Linked DNA regions of Kluyveromyces lactis. The protein of the gene in region 7 binds, or shares a complex with, the protein of the main gene of each other region. Links are inferred from orthologs where the notes say so. Each region holds a gene or a part of one and is shown on either strand. Other genes may lie near its edges. The genes, in order: CTI6, RXT3, DEP1, ASH1, PHO23, KLLA0_E19933g and SIN3.

Evidence for each region.
Region 1: SIN3 (region 7) and CTI6 share a complex: the UniProt entries of both Saccharomyces cerevisiae proteins name them as parts of the RPD3C(L) complex. The link is inferred for Kluyveromyces lactis from reciprocal best matches to the Saccharomyces cerevisiae genes SIN3 and CTI6.
Region 2: the proteins of SIN3 (region 7) and RXT3 are in contact, whole or in part, in a cryo-EM structure (PDB 8HPO), measured with the Saccharomyces cerevisiae proteins. The link is inferred for Kluyveromyces lactis from reciprocal best matches to the Saccharomyces cerevisiae genes SIN3 and RXT3. Residues at the interface, in NP_014639.1 of Saccharomyces cerevisiae: Asp701, Glu704, Lys729, Lys731, Cys732, Ile733, Glu734, Asn735, Ile736, Val737, His738, Glu739, Lys740, Arg742, Leu743, Val787, Trp788, Ala789, Ser790, Gly794, Phe795, Phe935, Asp939, Gln947, Ser950, Ser953, Ser954, Val957, Asp958, Thr960; in NP_010207.1 of Saccharomyces cerevisiae: Tyr62, Asp63, Pro65, Asn66, Val67, Ser68, Ser69, Ser71, Val72, Phe75, Tyr80, Tyr91, Arg94, Phe95, Ser104, Thr105, Ser106, Arg110, Phe113, Asn120, Thr121, Pro128, Ala129, Ile132, Gln133, Thr144, Glu146, Asp147, Glu156, Cys168.
Region 3: the proteins of SIN3 (region 7) and DEP1 are in contact, whole or in part, in a cryo-EM structure (PDB 8HPO), measured with the Saccharomyces cerevisiae proteins. The link is inferred for Kluyveromyces lactis from reciprocal best matches to the Saccharomyces cerevisiae genes SIN3 and DEP1. Residues at the interface, in NP_014639.1 of Saccharomyces cerevisiae: Pro643, Ser644, Val648, Val649, Pro650, Glu651, Pro652, Thr653, Glu654, Pro655, Ile656, Glu813, Tyr817, Tyr820, Val835, Asn836, Glu839, Lys869, Val870, Tyr871, Asp872, Arg875, Glu878, Ile879, Glu885, His886, Thr890, Pro892, Val893, Leu895; in NP_009389.3 of Saccharomyces cerevisiae: Asp297, Val299, Ile300, Pro301, Asp302, Val303, Asn304, Tyr305, Tyr322, Leu356, Ile359, Arg362, Met363, Asn366, Asn367, Ile369, Ser370, Leu372, Glu373, Gly374, Lys377, Tyr378, Phe379, Phe382, Pro383, Gly384, Ala385, Pro386, Leu388, Asn389.
Region 4: SIN3 (region 7) and ASH1 share a complex: the UniProt entries of both Saccharomyces cerevisiae proteins name them as parts of the RPD3C(L) complex. The link is inferred for Kluyveromyces lactis from reciprocal best matches to the Saccharomyces cerevisiae genes SIN3 and ASH1.
Region 5: SIN3 (region 7) and PHO23 share a complex: the UniProt entries of both Saccharomyces cerevisiae proteins name them as parts of the RPD3C(L) complex. The link is inferred for Kluyveromyces lactis from reciprocal best matches to the Saccharomyces cerevisiae genes SIN3 and PHO23.
Region 6: SIN3 (region 7) and KLLA0_E19933g share a complex: the UniProt entries of both Saccharomyces cerevisiae proteins name them as parts of the RPD3C(L) complex. The link is inferred for Kluyveromyces lactis from reciprocal best matches to the Saccharomyces cerevisiae genes SIN3 and DOT6.

The regions. Positions count from the first base shown.
Region 1 is NC_006041.1:1,669,785-1,672,763, forward strand, and holds CTI6 (Cti6p), read left to right. Parts: upstream 1-1,138; coding exon 1,139-2,479; downstream 2,480-2,979. Other genes in the region: APM3 (Apm3p), read left to right, coding at 1-812; VPS45 (Vps45p), read right to left, coding at 2,557-2,979. UniProt on the Saccharomyces cerevisiae protein: Component of the RPD3C(L) histone deacetylase complex (HDAC). Responsible for the deacetylation of lysine residues on the N-terminal part of the core histones (H2A, H2B, H3 and H4).
Region 2 is NC_006038.1:261,955-264,784, forward strand, and holds RXT3 (Rxt3p), read right to left. Parts: upstream 1,467-2,830; coding exon 501-1,466; downstream 1-500. Other genes in the region: RPL31B (60S ribosomal protein eL31), read left to right, coding at 2,323-2,379. UniProt on the Saccharomyces cerevisiae protein: Component of the RPD3C(L) histone deacetylase complex (HDAC) responsible for the deacetylation of lysine residues on the N-terminal part of the core histones (H2A, H2B, H3 and H4).
Region 3 is NC_006042.1:735,792-739,374, reverse strand, and holds DEP1 (Rpd3L histone deacetylase complex subunit DEP1), read right to left. Parts: upstream 2,322-3,583; coding exon 501-2,321; downstream 1-500. Other genes in the region: rRNA-processing protein NOP12, read left to right, coding at 3,098-3,583. UniProt on the Saccharomyces cerevisiae protein: Component of the RPD3C(L) histone deacetylase complex (HDAC) responsible for the deacetylation of lysine residues on the N-terminal part of the core histones (H2A, H2B, H3 and H4).
Region 4 is NC_006038.1:232,097-235,435, reverse strand, and holds ASH1 (DNA-binding transcription repressor ASH1), read right to left. Parts: upstream 1,884-3,339; coding exon 501-1,883; downstream 1-500. Other genes in the region: MTR2 (Mtr2p), read left to right, coding at 3,026-3,339. UniProt on the Saccharomyces cerevisiae protein: Component of the RPD3C(L) histone deacetylase complex (HDAC). Responsible for the deacetylation of lysine residues on the N-terminal part of the core histones (H2A, H2B, H3 and H4).
Region 5 is NC_006039.1:1,143,160-1,146,196, forward strand, and holds PHO23 (Pho23p), read right to left. Parts: upstream 1,677-3,037; coding exon 501-1,676; downstream 1-500. Other genes in the region: Ras family GTPase RAS1, read right to left, coding at 3-17; CRC1 (carnitine:acyl carnitine antiporter), read left to right, coding at 2,760-3,037. UniProt on the Saccharomyces cerevisiae protein: Component of the RPD3C(L) histone deacetylase complex (HDAC) responsible for the deacetylation of lysine residues on the N-terminal part of the core histones (H2A, H2B, H3 and H4).
Region 6 is NC_006041.1:1,774,034-1,777,523, forward strand, and holds KLLA0_E19933g (SANT/Myb-like DNA-binding domain-containing protein), read right to left. Parts: upstream 2,253-3,490; coding exon 501-2,252; downstream 1-500. Other genes in the region: KLLA0_E19955g (3'-5'-exodeoxyribonuclease), read left to right, coding at 3,184-3,490. UniProt on the Saccharomyces cerevisiae protein: Component of the RPD3 histone deacetylase complex RPD3C(L) responsible for the deacetylation of lysine residues on the N-terminal part of the core histones (H2A, H2B, H3 and H4).
Region 7 is NC_006039.1:542,990-547,080, reverse strand, and holds the start of SIN3 (transcriptional regulator SIN3), read right to left. Parts: upstream 2,801-4,091; coding exon 1-2,800. Other genes in the region: DNA-directed RNA polymerase II core subunit RPB11, read left to right, coding at 3,477-3,842. UniProt on the Saccharomyces cerevisiae protein: Catalytic component of the RPD3 histone deacetylase complexes RPD3C(L) and RPD3C(S) responsible for the deacetylation of lysine residues on the N-terminal part of the core histones (H2A, H2B, H3 and H4).

The DNA.
Region 1 (2,979 bases), on a different chromosome or scaffold from region 7:
TGAGTGAGGAAATTAACGCTATTGTGGAAAAGGGGAAACTGTTAACCGGACATATCAAGGGTTGTATCGACTTAAACAACCATCTCAGCGGACAGCCATTGGTTGAGATGAAACTTGGGCTCTTAGACCACAAGCTTAGCCACTTAAACACGACTTTCCATAGATGCATCTTAGAGGATAAGGCGAACAGCATAAATGATTTAATCGCTGGGAAATTCACTAAGCTAACGTTTGTACCTCCTGATGGACGTACTAGGCTCTGTCAATATACCCTACCGTTGGTGAAAAGAGACTCAAACCTCGGCATTATAGACGTAAATTTACAAAGCAGTTTAGGTAAAAGACTTGACGAATTTGAGGTCCGCGTCACCGTTGGAATGAGCACGACGGTGAAAGAAATAGAAAACATGAGCATGACTATCAGGATGAATAGAAATTTTAAGGGAATAGTACGTGTCATGAGAAACACTCACGGCGGTGTCGAAACAAATATGACTCGTGGCGAAGTTAATTGGCATTTGGACAAAAACATGGTATGCGGTTCAATGGCTGTACTACGTTGTATAGCGGAACTGGAACCCGAACTCGCCTCCAATGACCAAACATCTAGTAGATCTTCGGTTGTTCAACCACCTAGTTCACACTTAACATCCTTACTACAACCTAGTTTCATCAAATGTTACTACGAACACAAATCCCAGCTTCCCTCCGGAATCAAACTTCAATCAATCGACGTAGTTAATGGAGGTCCAAAAAAACCGTTCAAAGGTGTTAAGTACCTCACAAAGACTGGTTCGCTAGAGTATAGGTGATGATACGTTAAATGGTTTATATATATGTATGTATGTATTTATGTATGTGTTTGGATCACGTGATATTTTTGTTTTATGTACTTTTCGAACGAGGAAAAAGTGTTCCAACTGATTAAAGACTTAAAAGGAATAAGTAGAGCCACCTTGGATAACAGATGTTTTAAAGTTTCTATGTATGCAATGCGGAGGGCAAGAGTGAATTCCAGAAGTTTCAGGGCTGTTCTATAGTGCCATTTTTACTGATCTCGACATAGAGCGGTTAATTTGGGCGATTTGCAGCTGATATTTGACGAATAATCGAGAAGAGGGGATCTTGAATCATAGCAATGAAGCGAGAAACGAGGGACCGTGGAAGGACGGACCTTGCACCAGAGAAGTATGTAGAGGACTCTGATCCAGAGCCTGAGGATGAAGGTGAGACTCGGTGTATTTGTGGGAAAATTGAACCGCCAGATGATTCGGGTCTTTATATTCAATGTGAACAATGCCATGTTTGGCAACATGGATATTGTGTGGGCATATCTGAGGAGGAAACTCCGGATAAGTATTGGTGCGAGCAGTGTAAACCAGAGCTACACTCGCTCTACACAACGGATCTTGGTGAGAAGAGGTCAATATACAAGCCAATTCAGCAACGCCGTAGGAAAAATAGAAGGTCGAAAAGAAACTCCGAATCGGATGGAGAAGTATCAAACGCTGGAAGTTCACTAGAGAACCAATCTCCTTCTAGCTCAGTGGTTAGTGGAAATATTGGATCTCAAAGATTATCTCGGCAAAGGAGAAATAGTAGTAATGTTGAATTATCGAAGGATGAAGGTGAAGATTCTATTGCGGACTCCGGAAATGGTGAAGATAAGGATGAAAATATTCCCAAGCGCGAGTTTGATCCAATTGATGAAAATCAAAAGGTTGCAGATCGTAAACGTGCTACATCCAGTGCCAGGGAAGAGAAACATTATCAACTTATGCTAGAGAAAGCCCTACGCGAAAGCAGACGCTCTTCAAAAGATGGCACCGATCCCGAAGACCAAGATATTTTGAAGGAAGAAGAGGCATCAGGGAAGTCCGCCTCACCAAAGAATTACACTAGAGATACGGAATCTCCAGAAGTGGAAGGATCTGAAGCTGATGAAGCAGCTAGTCAATCAAGAAAACGAGCTAGAACGACAACAAAATCTACATCGCCATCAGGTTCCGAAGATGACTCCAAATCAAAAAGATCAAGAAGAGGTAAGAGCAATGGTTCAACCACGCAAAGTAACTCAAGGATTTACAAGACCTCAAGTGGAAGAGTTGCAAGGAATTCTAAAGCTAGCAGCTCAAAAGGATCGGGTTCCTCTGGAAGTTCAAACTTGTCGAAATCTAATGGACAATCTAATGATATCGGAATCAACAAGCCTCTAAAACCCAGGATTCCCTCTCAGAGGACCACTATGCATGAAATGAGAAGAAGAGTTAACGCTATTCTGGAATTTATCTCAAGGACACAGTTAGAAATATCTAATGACCAACGTCAACGGGATCAGTTGTGCCAGTTTGTGGAAAACGAAGAATTCCTGGAAAATATTAATAAAATATTCTCCAGTTACGACGAATCCTTCAAAACGATGGATGAGCTAACGAGGAAATTACTGCTTTGGGAGCAAAAGTTTAGTCCAGCTTCTTAAAAGCATGATAGAGAGTGTTCTTTTCTTGTTTCATACATTTCCTTACCTAATTCTACATCTGAAGTACATACGTAAGTTCATAATAAGTCAACTGGTTTATCATTAACGGCGCAAACATCTGTTAAAAATTGCTCTGTAGAAATAATCGAGGTTCCTCCAATGATAACTCTGCAATTGTCCTTATTTTTACTCTGTTTCTCATTGAATTGATGTACTGCGCGCGCTTCTTCTATAGTGAGGCCTCCGACGATCAATATAACAACATCTTGTGGCATATATGTCTTAGGGTCAATATTTTGGTTTAAAAGAGTCACTCCCTCTTGTGGGAACTTGTTTTTATCCAAATCGCTGAGAAGTGTTGTCAATTCAGGAACATGTTGCATAAACACATTTTCAGCGCTGGTGCTGCCTAATCTGTTGAATTTCTTGGTTAATCCACTAATCAAATCATTGTCCTGAGGAGCTTTGTGTTTATTGAATATTGACCCAAATCTCTGTTT
Region 2 (2,830 bases), on a different chromosome or scaffold from region 7:
AAGTTAGAATCAGTGAGACCCTTACTCTAACCTAATCTTTAAGTATACCAAGAAACAAGATTCAGGGTCTTATGGGTCACTTTGTAGCCGTTAACGTCTCGAACACTTCTCTTATGGTCGGTCTTTTCAAATCTTTTTCCCAATTATTAATCTTATTGAATGTCACTAAAAGAATAGAAGGAACCTTCAACCAATTTAAAAGAAGGTTGCAGGGACGTATAAAATAGCATATATATCAGACCTCTATGTTTAGAAGGTTTGCATGGCAGTGGAGATAATGGTAGTTATTATTATGATATTACATTGTTGAGTAATCTATACACAACGCTTTTACATATACAAATGTACATATTCTTTTCGGCACGCATCGATGCAGTACGCACGGCTTGCACATAACCGATTTAAGTCAACTTTCTCGTCACTTGTACGAGACACATGACGAAAGAAAATATATTGGGGGACGGAAGATACCGGCTGCTGGCCTTTTTCTTGATGCAGCGTTACCACTTTAGTGACTTAGTCTTGTCAGATTGTTGTATCTCATTTAATGTGTTGTCCATCACCACAATATCAACATGGAAAATTCCGAACGACAAACCGTCATGGACTTGCCCTGTCCATTCTCTGGATGTGATATTATTTCTCGTGGATGACGCATAACCTTGAAGAGGTGGTAACATTAGGATGTCCACTTTGATCGCAAATGGAATTTCACGTTCTGGGATTGCTCCTGTCACACTATTTTGGTCCGACATATTTGTAGGAGTTCTTCTCAATTTAGTTTTCAAAGAGTGAACATTGGATGGCTTGCCATTGCTGTTTTGATCCAATGGTTCAGAAAATGGCAAAACTCCACAGTGTTGAAGTACTAATATAATATCCGAATCGTCGGTATATATATCTGTGCCCCATATCTCTCGGTTTTGGTACCGTATGTTCTCACTACGGGCCACTTGTTGTAAATATATGGAATCGATCTGTATTGTAAGGATTGAGTTGATATGGTTATGAGACATCCTTGGAATAAAAGGTCTCGGAGATCTGATGGTCTTGAAATTATAAGGGAATGGAAGGGCTTCCAATTTCGGATCCCCAGGAAAAACACCAACTCTCATGGAGTCGTACTCCAAGGTGGCCAAAGGGCGCCGCTGTAGTGCGTAATTCTTCTCTGTATATTCAAGGACAGATTTAGAGTTTACGTCTATTTCGTCTTCGTCATCTTCAGGTTTGCTGTCTGGAGCTGCAGTTTCAAGGGTAGTGTTGTTTTCAGGTTCCCCTGTTTGGGAACTTTCATCTGCAACATTCTGTGTATTAGCCGGTGCAGCAACTGCTTCTTCTGATGATGATGATCCGATTTTACCCGTATCCTGATCTCGGGCCTGTTTGGACTCCCTAGAACTATTCAGCAGTGTCTCTTGCATGCTGTATATCCTGTTTTGGGTTTTTCTGTACAACTCATCACTCATATTCAAACAGTGGCTGAAAGCTGTTGAATAAATCAAAGTTTTACCAGCTATACAATCGGCAACTAATCAATTGAGCCACTGCGAAGTTCTCAGCTTGTAATAATGTATCAATCGACCCTGCTCAGGAGTAAATTTCTCTCGATTTATATTATGAATTCACTGTGTATTCGATGTACAGATGGAGATTCTTTCATTAACAACATTCATCACCAGTTTGACCATAATAGTCTATATACGGGACTGTTATAACATCCGTACATTCGTGAGGCTTCATTTGTTCCACTGTAACATCCGTGCACTCTGATGTAAAATAGTTTTATGTTTTCATTTTCTATAATAGGAAACTTTCATTCCGCATTTCGCACTTCGAATGACACAAACATTTCTAGGACATGTTGTGTGTGGGAAGCAATGATACAGGCCTGAGGAACCTCGCTTGACAACGCCCGGCGGCCTCCGATGACAGGTTTACCCACTCTGCCTAGGATGCCAATTCACCTTTCTAGCTCTACACCCCAGCCGGCAACCATTCCTTGTCCAGAGTGCAGGCATTCCTCCGTCTACTGGAACCAGCCTGGGCAGCCACCCAGCCAGGTTTGGACATACTAGGCGTTTCACCCACCACTGGCTGCCTTGCTCCAGCCTAGTGCCTAGTCTATTCCCTCCAGTACCAGAGAGAAAGTGTTGATTTTCGATGAAATATTATTTGGATACTGAGAAATAAGCTATATTGTAAGTGGTGAAATTAGAGGTTTCTGAATGTTAATAGGCGTTTACGATACTGTTTATTTGATTTGTGTGTTGGTTCTTAATAGAGAAGAACGAAGCAGTACACTGAGGAACTATCGAATACAAAATGGCCGGTTTGAAAGACGTCGTTACTCGTGAATACACCATCAACATGCACAAAAGAGTATGTTAGCTTTTACCAATGATGAAACAAAATTTCGAAGTGAAATTACACAATAGATACCAAAGTGGATAAGAGCAATGAGAAGGGGAGTTTAAAGATCATATACTGTATTTGAATGCAACATTGCATGTAAGTTTGCACACAATGGAGATACTTTGGGAGAATATGTGGATATTAAAGACCGGAGATGAAGTCTATTTAGTTTATTTTGATATCATTAGAATGTGGAGAAAATATACACCATGCTATACGTCCTTGTGAAAACGCTAAGTTTGTTTCTGGAATATAATGTTGAAAAGATGGGTTATTTGTTTATCAATGTGAAATAATTTGAATATTGATGATTGATTTTTATCCGAGTGAAACAGGCGATTAAGAGACGACATTATCGGTGAATACGCACTGTATTTTACTTATGATCAATGTTCCTTTTTTTTTCCAACATCTTAAC
Region 3 (3,583 bases), on a different chromosome or scaffold from region 7:
TTATAGAAAAATATCATCGGGTTGGATACGGTTTATTATAAGTTTTATTTCTATCCTGGTGTCTTAATAAAATAAAGATATTTCGCTTCACATTGGAATCTGACCAATTCATCACAACCTTTCCTCACTTCACAAGGACTACTATTTTTGGGGTTTCTTTCTCATCTTTTTATTATTTACGCTTTTATCTCTACCAACGTCCAACAAATGTTTAATTAGTAGGAAGTATATCTTCTATTCCATATATAACATACATCTTTGTATATTTTAAAATATCAAGGTTTCTCGAATTCACAGATGTCAATTCGAATACACTTTCATATCGTGGAAATGTTAAAAGTGCTATACATATACACAGTCATGCATATATTATACTTGTAAAGATTACACATCATAACAAAACGATAATTAAATGATGATTCATCAAGATGACATTTTATTGACTATTGATAAGAGCGTGTTTTCTGGTTTTTGGAGCACCTAGTGAAAAATTATATGACCTATTGTTGATGCTGTATTCCTGCAAGATCCTCATGAATTTCAGAATCTTTTAAACCACCAAGTTCAGGAGCACCTGGGAATCCTCCATAGAATTTCCTTATACCATCTAAGTCGCTCAATTCATTATTAAACCTCATTCTGTCTACAATGACTTCTAACTTATCGACAGGGTTGTTATGATATCTGAAATTGATATTTTCACATAATAAATCTTCTGATAACAAGTCGCCTGGACGTCTCAGATTGGCAGGAGCTGCGTATCCGGTTATACAACTCAAAGATTTATTTGAAATTTTTATTGGAACGTGATAATTTACTTCAGGTACAACAACGTCCATTTCACGTCTCTCTTTATTGATGTCATACCACTTCTGGGTTGTGTTTCCTAATAACTTATGTTTCAAATCTGAGACCTTTCTGTAGAAATCTTGATGAATAAACGTTCTTGTCGCCCTAGTTTCGGTATCTATGCACTCCAGCTCATACTTTTGCCTTTGGTACATTCTCTTTAGCTTAAAGTCCCGTATCGAAGCAATCTTCTGATAATAAGTCTGTAGTTGAGGATGTGATCCATCTAGACACATCTGTAGCTCATTCTGTAATTTGCTCAGCTTGTTTTCATATAGACTCTGTCGCAATTGAGCAAATTCGACTTCAATATTTGTTAGTTCTGCCAAAGCGTCTTGTCTTATCCTTTCCTTCTCCATGGGCGATAGTCCATTATCGGTAGAATCGACGCCAGGTGTATCTGTCTGTTGTTTCTCATCATTATCTTCTTCTACTGCGTCCATTTCGGGTTCTAATTCTTCCTCTTCATCCTCATTATTGTCCTCAACCTCACTTTCTAGAGTACCATCATCCTCAGCTTCTGCATCCGCGTCGATATCAACATCATGATCTCCGTTTTCATGCGTTTCATGCTCGTCTTCATAGTGACCTGATTTTGACTCAGTAGGTAATTTCGGTTTCTTGAACACCTGTTCAGACTTGACATGCTCCGAGCCGTTCTCTAGGGACTGTTGCTCTTCTTCACGGTTATGCTTTAAAGACACTTCTGATTCTTCTTGCGATTTGATCTCGTTATCATTCGCCTGCTCCTCTACTACCGGAGCATGCTGTTCTTGTTCATCGTTTGCAATTGTTTCTTCTTGACTGCCTCCTTCGGCAGGTACAGATACTTCGTCCTGGTTTTGGCTTAGTGCAAGTTTATTTGGCTCTGTTGTATGATCTGTATCAGCAACAGCGTCATCTTCATACGGTACTGGTTCAGGTTCTGTTTCGGCTGGTTTATCTTGCTGAACGATTGGTCCCTCATCTTTTGAAGGAGTAGCAAGTTTAGGGGCAGATTCTTGAATATAACTACCGACACCATTATTGATGTACTCTTGTTTTACAGTCTTCGAAAGATTATCATCATTTTGTTTACTTTTGTCATTACCGTTACTTTCAATCGAATTGGATGCCATTTCCGATAGTTTGACACGTGATTCGTCCTCTTCTAAATCCATCTTTTCGGTCTCAGCGTCTGATGAGATGTATATGTCCGATAGAGAGACTGAGTTTGGATGTTCTGGAGAAGTGACCTTAGATAATCCACTGGTACTGTTATCGTCGTATTCTAATGTACCAACCTTTGAGGGACTCCCTGATTTCGATTTCCTTGAATAACTATTTGCGTTAAAATTAACAGAATCAGAATCCGAAGCAATCTTCTCTAAAACTTCTTTGGTAAGTTTCGTAGTGGGGGCAGATCTGGTATTATGATCGTCAATCTCACTCGCAGCCTCTACACTGTTATTTTTGTTTCTCTCTGGCTCCATTTGAATGATTCAAAGATAGTACCGTTTGAATTCAAAAAGAAAGAAATCCCAACGCATATAACCAATACAACCTTTGTATTACTCCAATCGGCTGATGGCAAAGAAAAAACACTTAGCTTATACTCCAATGCAGAAACACACAAAATTTAACCAGCAAACCGTTTAATATGCGCAGTATAAGTTAAGAATTGCTGCTTGAATAGATTGAAAGTTGATACCTGACACACTAAAACAAAGGGCTGCAAATATACCTTACTTCGCGTAATTCTTATTTTTACTAGCAAAACAGTTATCTCTCTCTATTCTTAGTAGTACACAATATTTTAAATCACGTTTGGATGAGATCTATGTATTGATTGCTGACTGGCCATAACTATATGTTCATGCTAAAATCAGACTGTATTTTTATTCTTAACTTATATTTCGGCATTTCAGCACTATTTACAGTTTGTACGTTTTTTAAGGAAAAGGAACATGATGTTACCCGGCCATATAGTACATTCCACGGTGTTAATCACGTGACTACGATACATTCGATTTGTCCATAGAGCGTACGCTTTTCTTCCGCATTTCTTTTTGGTGGTAAATTCATGATTTCTGCTGGCTTTTCTAGGAAGTGCAGGTTTTTCACTTTCGATAATTCAACAGACAAATGGATAAAGCTCATCGCATCGAAGAGACTTGGACAGCCACCAGCAGGTTTAGTGCAGAGGAATAACGTTTGTGTTGGTGAACCAGGGTCTTTCAAACATAACAAACCAAAATTATATTACGGGATGTCCGCATTGAACAATTTATTTGGAAATTCCAAATCAGACGCGGCAGGTACATCATCGATTGCAGCGTTATTCTCCAAACCTAATCATGTCGATGAGCGTAAAGTAAAGTCGAAAGCTAGGACTGTGCTAACTGAGCCTGAACAGGATAAGGATGAACAAGAAGAAGAGAATGTCCAGGAAAGTGCTTCTACTGTCTCCGAAGGAGTAGAGAAAGAACAGGAAGAACAGGAAGAACAGCCGAAGAAGAAAAAGAAGAAGACCAAGAAGAATGATGAAGAGAATGATAATTTGGAAGTTCAATATTATTCTAAGGTATTAGGTGATTCTAAATCTAAAGATGAACCTAAGGATGAACCTAAGGACGACTCTTCCGATAGTGATAATGAAGATGAAGCAACTGCAGTCGATAAGTCTTCGATTACCGGCACGGAATCTGAATCTGCTAAAGTTATCAATTTGAAAGAAAAGGAACTAGCCAAGGCT
Region 4 (3,339 bases), on a different chromosome or scaffold from region 7:
ATATTAAAGCAAAACGAAAGCAAGTGATGAGATATTGACGGTTCCAGTTATTTATATTTTTGATGAAGTTTTTTTTTTTTTTTTTTTTTTTTTTTTTCATTTTCAGATAGCGAACATACATCGATCTTGACGTAAATGGCATATTAATGAAAAGAAAGAAAAAATCATTCACTTTATGAAGAGGTCTGAAGCAGCTACTAAGTGCCAGTCATCAATATCAACCTATGATATTGATGCTCAAAGATCAGAAGTGTGAAAATATTAATTTACGCTACATTAGATAAATTATAGGAAGAATATATGTTTAGATTATATCATTATATTAATCAAATTAGTTAGAATTGAAGGGAAAGGGAATAGTGGAAATATTATCCGGACAAACAAGGGAAAAGAGAAGTAAGTATTTATAAATGCAATATTAGAAGGTAAAAAGCTCCGTTGAAAGTTGGGATCAGTTAATTATGCAAGGAAGGTTGGTTTTTTTATCAGGCTTTTCTGCCCTATTCGTCAGTAGCAACGGCGTGACCGCAGAACAAACATGCTATTTTGTAATCAGTATTTCCGTCAGCGTCCTCAATCGAAACTGGCTTGTTTGATTTCATAAGTGTCAATTCACCTTTTGAAGGTATTTTACGGCAAGTTTCATTGGTGCATCTTGTATGGGTCTTCTTATAACGGAGCCCACAAGAATTACAAAGCTGATCTTGTTTGCTTTTAGACCAAGAAGGTCTCCAACACGGGGAATCTGTAATGTGACATGAAACGCAAAATCTATGAGAGTTACGCCTTTGTGTTGGAGAGCTTTTGGGAGATGTTTGGACTAGCTCTTGGTCGGTGTCGTCTTCTGAGTTGGAGTTCGCCGAAGTCTTTTCGCCGAAATCCTCCACGCTGTTGATCACAATAGGATGAAATCTCTGTTGGGGAGATTGAAGAGATTTTGGAGTTGTGGATAGTGTAATCTTCTTTTGTGGAGGGGTCTTTGGTGGTGCAGGATTAGCCTTAAATACCGACTTTTGTGATTCGAATTTGTCTTCATATGTAAGCAATATGCGTTGATCCAGCATCTTCTTCAGTTTTCTTGCTTTAAAACTGTTGGTCTTCTTATGTTTTGAGGAACGGTTCTTCTTTACCGCTTTAACTAATGATTCGCTGATCATAGAAGTGAATTGTCTGGGAGGACTACTTGGTGGGGTTACCAGTACTTTGCTGGAGCTTGAAGTGTTTGAAAGTTGATAGAATTCATCTGGTGAAGTATTGATCGATGATATTCTAGCAGCATCGGCTAAAATATTTAATCCATGAGTAAAATTACCAGCTCTTGGATTAGCTTGAGATACCTGATCTGTAATGTTTTGGTACTGAGTGTAATTAGTTTCCTTACACCACTCTGTTAAGTTTTGCCTCCATAGAGGCGTGGAGGCACAAGTGTCTGGATAGAGGTACGAAAACTCTTGTATTTTAGGATGTGCCAATAACTTTAGATGCTTTAATGGTTGTAGTGCTGGTTGCGAGGGTTGCGCAACCTCATTCTGTAGTTGTGAACAGGAAGGCAGTTGAGTTGATTTTCCAATATTGTTACTGCTGTTGCTGCTAATGCTGCTTCCCTCACATACTGTCTGTCTCCATATGGAAGAATTAGATGAAGCGGACACTGGTGATGTAGTAGGCGTGATTTGTACGAATCCAGAAGGTGAGGCTGGCGCCGTTTTAGATTTTTTCCGGGCGTCAAAGAAATATGGCGATTCTTCTAATGTCATTGGGGCGTTCAAACTGGTACTTAAAGATGGCAATAATAGATCATCAAAGGATCTTTTTCTTCTTGCGTAGAACTTTTGCTCGGCGTGAGGATTGGTGAATGGTAAAGGGTTCGAAATAGTGGACATCGTTAGCTTGAATAGTGAAAAGGTCGAAGCGATGGGAAATGAGCTGATTCGATGCTCTATAATGGGGAACAAGTTACGGTGTTAATTGAAGTAAATTATTGATGTGTAACACAGTTGTCAGGACCAGTGTTTGAAGAGTGAAGAAATATATCAGGCCTTATAAGGATTAGCTAGAACTGTCATATATCAACCACGATACCTAATTCAGTAAAAATAAGGGGATTATCTTTCCAATCGATCTGAAAGAATTGTCCCATGGAAACCCAGATTTGGATTCTGGTTTATATACTCTAGGGATACTGAACCAATTTCAATCAGTTCAGTCCCGCAAACTTAGTAGGAATCCATATATCGATGAAACAGAAAAAAGTGTAAACAAAGAATACCTGCGCCAAACCCGCAGAGGGTTTACCGAATTTTTTTCGATTTGGCAAAAGAATTCATACTTGTTCTATGCCTGCAAAACTAAAGGGAAAGACAAAAGATATACTTCTTTTTCTCTTACCGGCTATAAAATTGATCAAAACTAGTCAACCATTGTTTACAAAATCATATATCATGTAATGGAATCGCGCAGCGATGTTCACTTAGCTTTCAGATCTCTGTTTATGTTTATTTTTCCACACCAAGTCTTGGTATCTGTTCGGCTGGTATTATGGATTTACATTTCGATGCTGGGTTTTTCATGTTTACACTTTCTTCACATATGCAAGCAGAAAATAGAATTTAAAAAAAAAAGAATACTAGTGCGCGAGGCAGCTTGACAAAAGTGCTGGCAAAAGAGACATAAGGAAAAGAAAAATCCGACTCTACAATATGTACGCTAGATATTTGCTCGAGTCGATCAGCATTTAGAGTTGTGTTTGCATGTGTTCATTTGAGAGATTTTGAAATCAGGGTCTACCTAAAATCATCAAGGAAATTACAACGCGTACATATATTGTTTGTTACCCGCATTTGATGAAGCTAGTCAATTGAATTTACCCAAGATGAAATTTGGAGAGAAGAAGACTTCTTTCCATAGATTTAATAATAAAATTTTTGATCGATGTTGAAATTAATAGTATTAAGGTAAACGTTATCAAAGCCTTCAATAAAAATCAGCAAATCTCTTTAAAGCATCATCAACTGATATTATCAAAATGAATCGTCAACCTCAAATCGTGGAGACTTTTGTGAAGAAAGTACTGGCTCATCTAGATGAGCCCGATCCAGCAAAGTTGGAACAATTCCTACAGCTATTTAACCCACATCAGTGCAAAATAATATTCAATTCCCAACCGTTTGGACAGGCAGTGCAATTCCTTCAGGCATGGCAAACTGGAGTGGTACTGACGCAGCACGTTATCACCGCGGTTGATTTCCATGTGATACCAGGTACCGGAACCTTACTATGCAATGTGAACTGTAAAGTTAGATTTGACGAAAGTGGGAAGGATAAGAACGGCCAGGATAG
Region 5 (3,037 bases), about 600 kb from region 7:
ACTTTATTTAACGACATTTCGCAGTGTACAAATGTAAATCCCTCACTATTTTAATCTACAACGAGGTCCCTCTTTTCCCTATGATATGAGCAATGATTGTGCATAGGTGTTGTCAACGTACATAAGTAGAATTTAACAAAGCTTATTATTATAAGGTACAACAAAAATTTTTTTTATTTTTCTAAATTTTTATTTCAAATTCGGTAAGTATGCGAAAAGAGACAGATTACATGAATTGAAGGAACCCTTTTTTTCTCATCAATACGATGCTGCTGCTTGCTTATTATTATTTCTTTCGACAAGAAATGGAAATGGAAATAGAATTTCCCAAAAAAATGATGCTTGACCAGATCAATTATATTCTCAGTAGTTGCTGAGATCGAGGTTGAATATCTCAAGGGTTTTTTTCCTTTTGCATTTATGCATCATGAACTGAGTGACGAGACAGTGATATATATTATATTTATTTCCGGTGGTAAATATTATGTTGGTGCAGCTAGCTAATTCTTTTTCAAACAGTCATCGCAGTACCATTTCCCTTTAGGTAGCGTTTCCAAGCCAATGCAGGGAAGATGGAACCATTCTAATTGACAGTTTTCGCCATCACATCCAACCATTTCTCCGTATGCGACCTGATTACAGTAACAATACAGTGCTTCTCCATATTCGTTGATCTTTGGTCTGTTTTGATACTTATTTGATGCGTTGACTGCATTTACAGCTGTCGTGTTACTCCCGGTAACGCCATTGTTAGCAGCCGTGGTGTTTACTCTTTTTTTGTTCCTTCTTTGTGCGGCAGTACTATTTGCAGAAGAGTTGTTATTGTTTGAACTAGATGTTGAGACAGTAGTTGTCCCGTTGTTATTTCTCCTTTTCTTAGTGTTCGCTGGTTGTATATCATCTGCATGAGAATGGCTATTGTCATTATGGTTGTGGTTATGCGCATTTCCGTTCTTATGACCTGCCATAGTGGAAGAGCGGTTGTGACCATTTGTTTGAGTGTTTGCTCCTTGGTTTGGAGCATTTCCATGTGATCCTACCGCCGCAACTACTGGTTCTGATCCTGCGACTGCTGTGGAGGCACCGGTTCCAGAAGTTGAAGTAGAACCAGCTGTGGATCCGACAGAACCTGAATTTGCCGTTCCAGCAGCGTTCCCACCTTGAACAGCAGTTCCCCCAGTTGTCTTCTTTGCAGCCATGGCTTCTCTACGGGATTCACTTTTCAGTGCTTGTTGAGACTTCGTCATTACATTTGATTCGACCTTAGCCATAAGCTCACGATGCAAATGCATCGCTGGATGGTTATCGTTACCTAGTCTTAACTTCTCTGGAATCTCTTGATTGGAAATAGCAACCTCGTAGGCTAATTCCAACCTGTCCGTTAACCTTTCTAAAGAATCGTAGGCTATAGATGAAACATGCATCTTCTCTTCCAATGACGGGATCAGCTCTTGAAACCATTGGTTTATCACACGTAGAGGAACCTTGGACTCATCAGGAACGTTTCTCCCACCAAGGAATCCTTTAATGCATTTATTTAGTTCAGGAATTATATTAACGCATTTAGCATCAATTTCATAGAGTAGAGTCATGTACCGTGAAACGTCTAATGGCACCTCTTCCAATACATCACTAATATCATTAAGACCAGGGTATAAATTTGCAGGTGCTGCCATATCTTGAGTTGTATTGTCTATGTCTCGCTATCGTGATATGTAGTACAGCTTGTGATTCCTACTGGATTGAGAGATCTTTTGAATCACACAAATGTCAATACACTACATACAACATGTAATTGTATTGCGTGCACTTATCCGGTATGCTAAACAATTCTAGTTACCTGACCTAAAAGAAAAGGTATAAATTTGATATTCAAAGCTTTTAATAAGACTAAGCGAGAACCTGAAGAAAAGAAAAATAGATCACGTGAAAATTATTATCACGTGATTGGTATTAAATAATCGTTTTGGATTCTAAGTAGGTTATACAATGGAAAGCTCGGGGTTTGTTTGATTACGATCATCCGTGAAACCCTGTCCGCAATCTTTTGTTTATGTTTTTTGTTTTCACTGTTGTCTCCTTCCACCTGTGTCACATTTGTCACTTCATTTCCCCCGCTCTAAATAGAAAAAAAAAAGGCGATTAGAATTTTGCTGACACTAAATCCTGTCGGCATCGGGTAAAATAAGGTAAAAAGGGAATATGTATCAGAAATAATGAATGGATCACGCAGGGAAACAGCCGCAGGGATCCCGTGCGAATTTGGAGATGTTCCAGCACATGACCTTGTACTTAAATTGTAGAGTATCTGTTCTTTCATTTGTTGTCATGCATTCAGGGCTGATTCTATTTCTAACGGCCAGTCACACAAAATGTTGTACTGATTCCTTGTATCAATCCTAGATTATCTCTACAAAGTCCGTTAACTTGAGAATTTTTTTGGTGATGACTATAATGATTCACCAAGAAAGTCACAATCCTGGACCAAAAGAAAATCCTGAATGTTTGATGATTATGATGATGATATGATGTTAATGATCAGCAATATCATGGCTAATTACTTTCATGAGGAAGAGAAACGTTTTTTTTTTTTTTCGTAGATATATAAATCACAGCCTTTCGGTGCAAACCTGAAGCATACACTTAGATAAGAAGAACATTCAGTACCGAGGTATATGAAATTGGTCTGATCAAAGTGCACCAAAGCTAACGTATATATATACAGTATCACTTCGACGAACACTATTGAAAAGGGAAAAATGAGTGACGCCTCCATTGAAATTGAATTGGAAACATCGCATGTTAATGATGTTTCCCAAACAAAGTCACAATTAACAGAAAATTTGAAGTCATTAGCTGCAGGCGGTGTTGGAGGTGTTTGTGCAGTGTTGACCGGACATCCTTTTGATTTGGTGAAAGTCAGATGTCAATCAAACCAAGCACGTAGTGCCATGGATGCAGTCTCACATATTCTACAAGCTGCACGTCAGGCAGCCGGTCCTACTTCTTTGAATGCAGTGCGTGGGTTTTATAAAGG
Region 6 (3,490 bases), on a different chromosome or scaffold from region 7:
AGAAGAAAACTGATAATAGTGTAATATCTAATATATGCATGTATATATGTATATGATTGTAAGAATAGCGAAAATTAATGCCATCATTGATATAGCAGTAAAATGTAAATAACAAAACAACGTAATAGTACGCACTTTTCATTTAAGTGTTTATGCAAAAGGAGCAGCCCGTGTCCCTTTGCTATAATAAACTGAATAGGGACATTATTATGACAAAAAATAACCATATGGTACAGTTCAAATGATTTGGCATAAAGATAACACTGTAACAGTATTATTGATGTTCTATTGTAGTTATAGTACTTGTACAATGGGGTCATAATCAGGAAAGTGTGTGCGTTTATGTGATAGTAAATCAACGACAATGATGATTGAAGTAGCAGCGACTGGCGCCACGATACACTTCGGGGTTCATGTTCATACATGTCTGAAAGTGGTTTGTAAAGTAGTTTTTTAAGTTTTTGGTTCTTGATAATGGTATTAATACAGACAGTTTATCATCAAACAATGTGCTTGAATATCGTATTCAAACTAGGCAGTGGCTGAGTTGGCACTTGCGGTAGTCGATGGTTTTGTGGTGGTTGAGGAGATTGCGATGAATTCGGAGTGAACTGGGGCGTTTGTTCATTACTAGCCTGTGTTTGAAGAATTTGCTTCGGTACGCTGGCAGGCATCCTATTGCCATAAAAAGATGAGTTGTTCACATCAGAAATAGTTGGAGAATGGTCTCTCAAGGAATGAGCGTCCGGTGAAAACACTGGCGATCTCTCACGAGCGGAAGAACCAGTCGAAGATGTTTGAGAAAACGTAGGAGATTCATCTCTTAGCTGAGTTGGGGCAATAGAGTCTTCCATGCGGCCAACAATCTCTACATCAACATCAACATCGTCAATGTCGTCATGCTCCTCTACGGCAGTATCTGGTGAGTAAGTAGAGTGGACCTCATCTGAAGAACTCGATTGATTAACATTGGCGGAAGGACTAGCAGTACTAACTGCATCGCTAGGCGTTATATGTAACGAATCCATTCTCCATTGGATCTCTTGTTCTGATCTATGAGGTAACAAGATTGAAAGCTCATCAATGGACAAGTGGTACCTTTGACGTTTTTCTACCAACAACTTATCCTCATCGCCAGACCAAGGTTTTGCAAAGCCATTGAATGATCCAACGGCACATACGGATGAAGGAGGGGGTTGAGAGCTTTGTTTTATGGGCATATCAATGAAACCTGCTTGCATAGACTCACGTCTAAACTGAGAGACAGAGTTCCTTCTAGACATAGATGGATTCGTCGTGAAGCTTTCTCTCCTTGGATTCGCGGAAGATGCGGGCAAAGTTGATGAAGGCATGACAACAACGGAAGATCTTCTAGAAGATCCGTTAGAAGACATTGGGATGAAATGCCTGTCGGATGCTACGTTGAAAGAGGAACGTCTGGAGCGCGAGGAGAAGGAATTTTTCCTTGATTTCGTACTGGCCAGGTTTGGCAAGTTCGATTGTGGAGTGTTATTCACAACGACCGCGGAACCACGTCTACTCTTGATGAAGACTTTTGGAATAAAACCAAAATTTTCCTCTTGATCATTGAAATGGGGCATATTTGGTGGGGCGTCCTGTGAATGAGAGGAAGACCTGGGCTTTATAAATTTCCCATGAGGAGCAGGAGAAGCAGTAGAGAACGGAGACTTGGACAACGATCCGGAATGTGCAAGTCCGTTTACCGATAGGACACTAGATCCAGCTGTAGCAGCAGATGACGAAAAAACACCCATGTTGCTATTGTTATTATTAGTAGCACTCCCACTACCATTCAACCCATGAGGTGACGAAAGAACGGCACTATTGGTAACTTTTGAGGTCGGAATTGGCATGGGCATGGGCATCGGTCCCGTAGAACTAGACTTCTTTGCCGTATTCTTCTTCGCCGTCGAAGAGGACCCAGTGTTTAAAGATTCCGCGCTCAACGTAGGTCCTGCAGAAACAGCCATTGGAGCAAGTACTGGAACAGTCACATTTAACAACTCATCCTCCTCCTCATCCTCCTCCTCTGGCGACTTCACCGTCTTTAAACTGCCAGATTTTAACCTTCTCCACCGAAATTGGCACGCGTTAGGAGTTCTATTCGTAAAATACTGAGCAATATCCTTCCATCCCAGTCTTTTCACCTCTTTCAAGTGTCGCAACAAGACATCGTCCTGAGGTTCCCACGAACTCGGAGTCCTACTGGAAACGTTTTTTGGTGCAGTCATCTACCCTTTCACTTAAAAATATTGTGAGTTATAATTGTAAAGTATCAGCAACCAAAACAAAATCCACTATTTAGAGCAGTAAAACCAAAATTCAGCTCAAAAATTTTCGAAATGTAATCAAAACGACAGTAACAGCTTTCTAATAGCTCTAATTCTCTAGCTCAAAGACCTGTTCTCATTAACACAACGAGAGGGAATAAAAATTTTGAACGGTCCAAAATAAAACCGACAGTAGTTTATGAACGATTTTTCTTTTTAAACAACAAAAAATCGCCTTAAATTCCTTCCAAAATCGGCTAACAATAAACTAACGTATTGACAGTTATGCTCTGAGTCGATATCACTGAGGTCAGACTGAGTACTGAACCAATAAAGACAGGTTTCTGCCTAGGAAACAAAGAGTGTCAAGTTAAATGACAAGACTCGATGAGGTCGAGTTTAGTGGCTTTTTCTTCGTCGCGATGAGTTGGAAAAAAAAAAAATTTCGAATTTTTTCAGTGTGACAGCGATGAGATGAGGTGACAGGTGAGATGAGAAGAGATGAGATGTGATGTGAGTATACTGAGTGAGGGTCCTGTATCTTACCGTTCACGTGTCTTTTTTTGTTTTTTTCGTCTGTGTACTTCTTGCAAATGGGGTTCCCCGGTTGGTTTGGGACTGGTGCGTTAGTCTACGCCTTCGGAAAGCTATTGCAGTAGTGTGTAGAATGTGTCAAAATAAGCTTATGGGAGGTAGGGGGATGCACTCCGGGAGGTGATAAGTGCGTTGGTAGGCCATTGGATAGGCTTCGGAAGATACCCATTACACGATATTTTTGGACATCGTGTGGCATGTACGGTCTGTGAATGTTTCCATGCGGACTTGAGTCACAGAGTGGAGCTTAACCTTACATCCGGGTAACACTCGAAAATTCTGTACAAGCCATCTCACGATGCGCAAGAGGATATGCAACTCATCCCACTTCAGAACGATAAAAGGACTTCCTGTTTGTTTGGCATATTTTCGGTTCATTATGGCCATTGTATATCACTGTGAAACAGCTTCTACACTGTATATGTCCAGAGCACTTCAGAAGATGACAGGTTTGAAACAGATAAGGTACTTTGACATTGGGTTCAATATCTCTGATCACATGTTCAAAGGGAAATACCATGGCAAGAAGCAGCACGAGACGGATTTATCCAATATATTGAACCGTTGTAGATTGACTAATGTGGATAAGCTGCTGATTACCGGAT
Region 7 (4,091 bases):
CTCTTCTCCATTCTTCATCCTTTTGCTTTAATCTTTTCAAAACAATGGGCACTGTGACAGCTGGGTGCTCGTGTAAGGCGTCAATAATCTCAAAACCTCTGTCTTTATCGTATACTTTTCTAACGACTTTCTTATAAATTGTTAGGGAAGTATGACCCAATCCAGGAGGAAGCTTGAAATTGTTCTTTTCCTCGTTGGTCATGTTTGCAATTTTATTAGCAATCGTTTCCAAGGTTTGAATTGTTCTTAAATTGGACTCGATGTAGAAATCATATTCGTGCCTTTCTTCTTCTACCTTGAAGAGTGTGTCCTCATATTGATTCTTCCGATGAGCAATGAACCCAGAGTCCTCTGACGCCCACACTGGATGACCCACCCATTCATCATTCAAAACCTCCCAGCACATTTCGTCTCTTCCAGAGCATGGCATGAAGGTATCGTCTTTTGGCAATTTTTTATAACTTGGGCCGCATGCTTCGCAGAGGTCCAAGTCCAATCTATGTTTTTCATGTACTATATTTTCGATATGTTTGGGTTTTTCTTGGTAGCCAACAAAACTTTTGAACCAATCGAAAAGTTCTTTAGAGCTATGCAAATAGAATTCCACCTTCGAGACCAATTCAGAGGTTGTTAGAAGATCTTGTGAGTACAAATTAAGAATTTTCAAAAACTCAGCGTAAACTTGCTTGTTTCCAATAAACCTTTTCACTCTTTCAAAGAACGTCACTTCATCACCTAATGCAATGGCATCTTCAGGAGGTTGTATTGGTTCTGGTACGACGGGTACAAGACTTGGGTCCAAGTCAATTTCAGGTCTAGCCATAGGAGCTTCCATGTATTGCACACCTTCAAGTGGTTGAGGATAACCTGGGGCACCCTGAATGTACTCTACTTGATTATAAGTGCCATTCATGGTTGATCTCATTTCAGATACAGGAATATCCTGGTTGGACATACCTTGTGTCACAACATGTTGAGGTATCACGTGCCCACCTGCAATGTGCTGGTGCATAGATGGTAGCATATGACTATTTTCAGCCGGCGATGCTTGGCCTGAAGCAGAAAAATTTCCTAATGGAGGAAGGTTCGTCGGCTGCATTAACACTCCAGATTGTGGATAGAATCCTTGTCCCTGCATAGATTGATTTTGTTGTAAGTAAGGTTGGGGTGGGAGCATTGCTTGCTGATTTTGATCTTGCGGTAACGGTTGCTGTTTTTGCTCATGATGTTGCTGCTCCTGATCTTGTTGGTGTTCCTGTTGCTGATCTTGTTGTTGTTGCTGTGGTTCTTGTTGTTGTTCTTGTTGTTGCTGTGAAACAGAAGAGTCCGGCAAAAATTTCTTAAAATCGTCCAAGAGATCAGGGTTATTTTGGAAAAGGATCGTTACTTGAGCATAAACCTCATGAATTGGTTTCTGTTCCCTCTGGTAGGTTTGTAAGATTTCCAAGAATTGTTTATAGATATCAGGCTGGTCAGCAAACCTAGTTTTGATTTTGTTGACATAGCTTATGGCATGAGAAAATTCTACTTCGCCTGTCTTTTGCTGTCCAGGTAAAGCACCAAGCATTCCACCACCAGCTGCAACAATTTTTTGATTGACAAATTGATTCTCTAACTGTGGCGGTTGAGGCTGTTGTTGAGCTTGTCTCTGTGGTGGCTGACCTTGTTGCTGAGGAGACTGTTGTGAATGTAATTGTTGAGGTTGGGTCTGTGATTGTGGTTGCGAAACAAGCATTGCAGCCGAGGTTGCAGATTGATTCTGCAACTGATCCTGCAACTGCTGATGTTGAATTTGATCCCCATTATTGAATTGAGGTTGAGAGACCTGCTGCTGCATTTCAATATTTTGGTTTTCAACATTTTGGCCAGCTACGGGTGCTAATTGATATTGTGTAGGTGGTCCAGCAGAAACTTCACCGGTAGTTCCGAACGGTGTGGTAACTTTGATTGGATCGTTTGGGTTGGTAGAACATTCGATTTTATACCCATGAGGAAGAAAAGTATTGAAACCTTGAATCAAGTTCGGGAATCCTTGGAAAAGAGTCGTTACTCGTTGAATTACTCCAGGAGTATCGATAGCCTGAGATTTGAAGTCCTTCATAATGTCCAAGAAGTGGTTGTAGACATCCGGTCTAGAGCTGAATTGAAATTTAACCTGTTCCAAATACGATAAAGCATCCTTGACGTTCAAGGGCCTATATGAAGAATACTGAGCTTGTTGCAGTGGATCCTGTCCCACTGTCATAGCATTTTCCACCTGGACATTGTGCCCCTGAAGTAATTGCTGTTGTTGCTGTTGATGCGTAATATCTGGTTGTTGAACGATATTGTTAATTGATGGAGTAGGGATGGCGCCCTCGCTATTCGTTGAGACAGGACCGTTACTCCCGGCGGCAGAATTGATAGGAGTTCCTCCATTCTGTAAATTGATGTTATCCATTCGGTTAGAAACACCAGACAATGGTCCGTGGATGTGAGGGTGCACATGCGAATGTGAATGGGAATGAGAACGTGCGTTTTGCTGGCCTTGTACCTGTTCCTGTCCTTGACCCTGGGAGGGCTGATTTGATCCACTAATAGTAGAAATCGATGGTAGGGTCACGTGATGTTGTTGTTGATCATGTTCCGGTTTTATCTGGATGTTAACGGCGGGAGGCGCGAGCTGAGGTAACAGATTTGGACTGTTCTCACTTTGACCTTGCACACCATTAATCATTCCAGTCGATGGTGGAATTTGTTGCTGCTGCTGCTGCTGTTGTTGTTGTGGACCATCCGGTTGTTGGTTCCATGGCGCCGACATCTTTTACCCTCGAGCACGATTGCCAAATTTTGTACTAATACGATGCGTTAGATAACACGATCAAAGAATAGATGATAGCAGCGCTAATCGTGGTCGTACCTCAGAGCAGTTAGATAAGTTCCTTAATCAGAATCAAATCTCGATGATTGATAAAGAAAACAATAAAAAAAAAGGAACAGGACCAAAAAACACGTCGTGAACAATGGTGTACTCCTTAGACTATGAACTAGATACTCAAAGTACTGGTATAAGCTCAAAGCAATTACTCGATTATCCGCCCTTGATATCGCACAGAGAAGGTTATGTCTTGTCTCGTTCCCCTTTAGATTCTGCAACCGCATTTAATTTCCACTCTAAATACATACTTTAAAGAGTTCAAATGTTAAATTTCAATTTATATGTTTTTTTGAATCTTTCCATTTTGAATTTTTTTTTTTTTTTTTTTTTTTTGGTCTTGGGAACTGTCGACATTTCGGGTCAGATTCAATATCACGTGCCTGAGGGTAACCACTTTTCATTCACTGATTCTGATTGCAGTTCGCTTCTCAACATGAAAAATTCACAACAGAACTTTAAAGTGACCATAGACAACATTGTGTGGGTTTGGCAGGAGAAGGCAGCGCAATCCAGTGACAGATTCAATCAGTGGCTCCGCTAGATAATATAGAGTAACGATATGAATGCTCCAGATAGATTTGAACTTTTTTTACTACCGGAAGGTGAGTCGAAGCTTAAAGTAGAGCAAGATACCAAGGCATCCAGTGCTATTATAGTAACGTTTGAGAAAGAAGACCACACTCTAGGGAATTTGATTAGAGCCGAACTTTTAGAAGATGAAGGAGTTCTTTTTGCAGCTTATAAGGTAGAGCATCCGTTATTTGCCAAGTTTAAAATGAGAATTCAGACTGTGGAAGGATACGATCCGAAGGATGCGTTGAAGAACGCATGTAATAGCATTATCAATAAGTTGGCTCAGCTGCAGTCTAACTTCGAAACAGAATGGAATTTGCAAACGTTGGCTACTGAGGATTATGGTATGTAATAGTGTTGGAAATTGCTCAAGTGTATTAAACAAGTGTCAGGTAATTCATCTTTTCAAAAGAATTATTGAACCTCCTTCGGTTTTTCTCTATCCCCTCTTCCCTTCTATGTATTATTTTCATGAACTGTGTTGTGTTTCGGCTATAAAATAGGAGAGCGTATTACTATCCACCGTAAAGTTCAACGTTCATTGTGTATAGGACTATTTCTTTTGGGTTTTTTGGGTATTATCAGTACAGAATAGTGACCT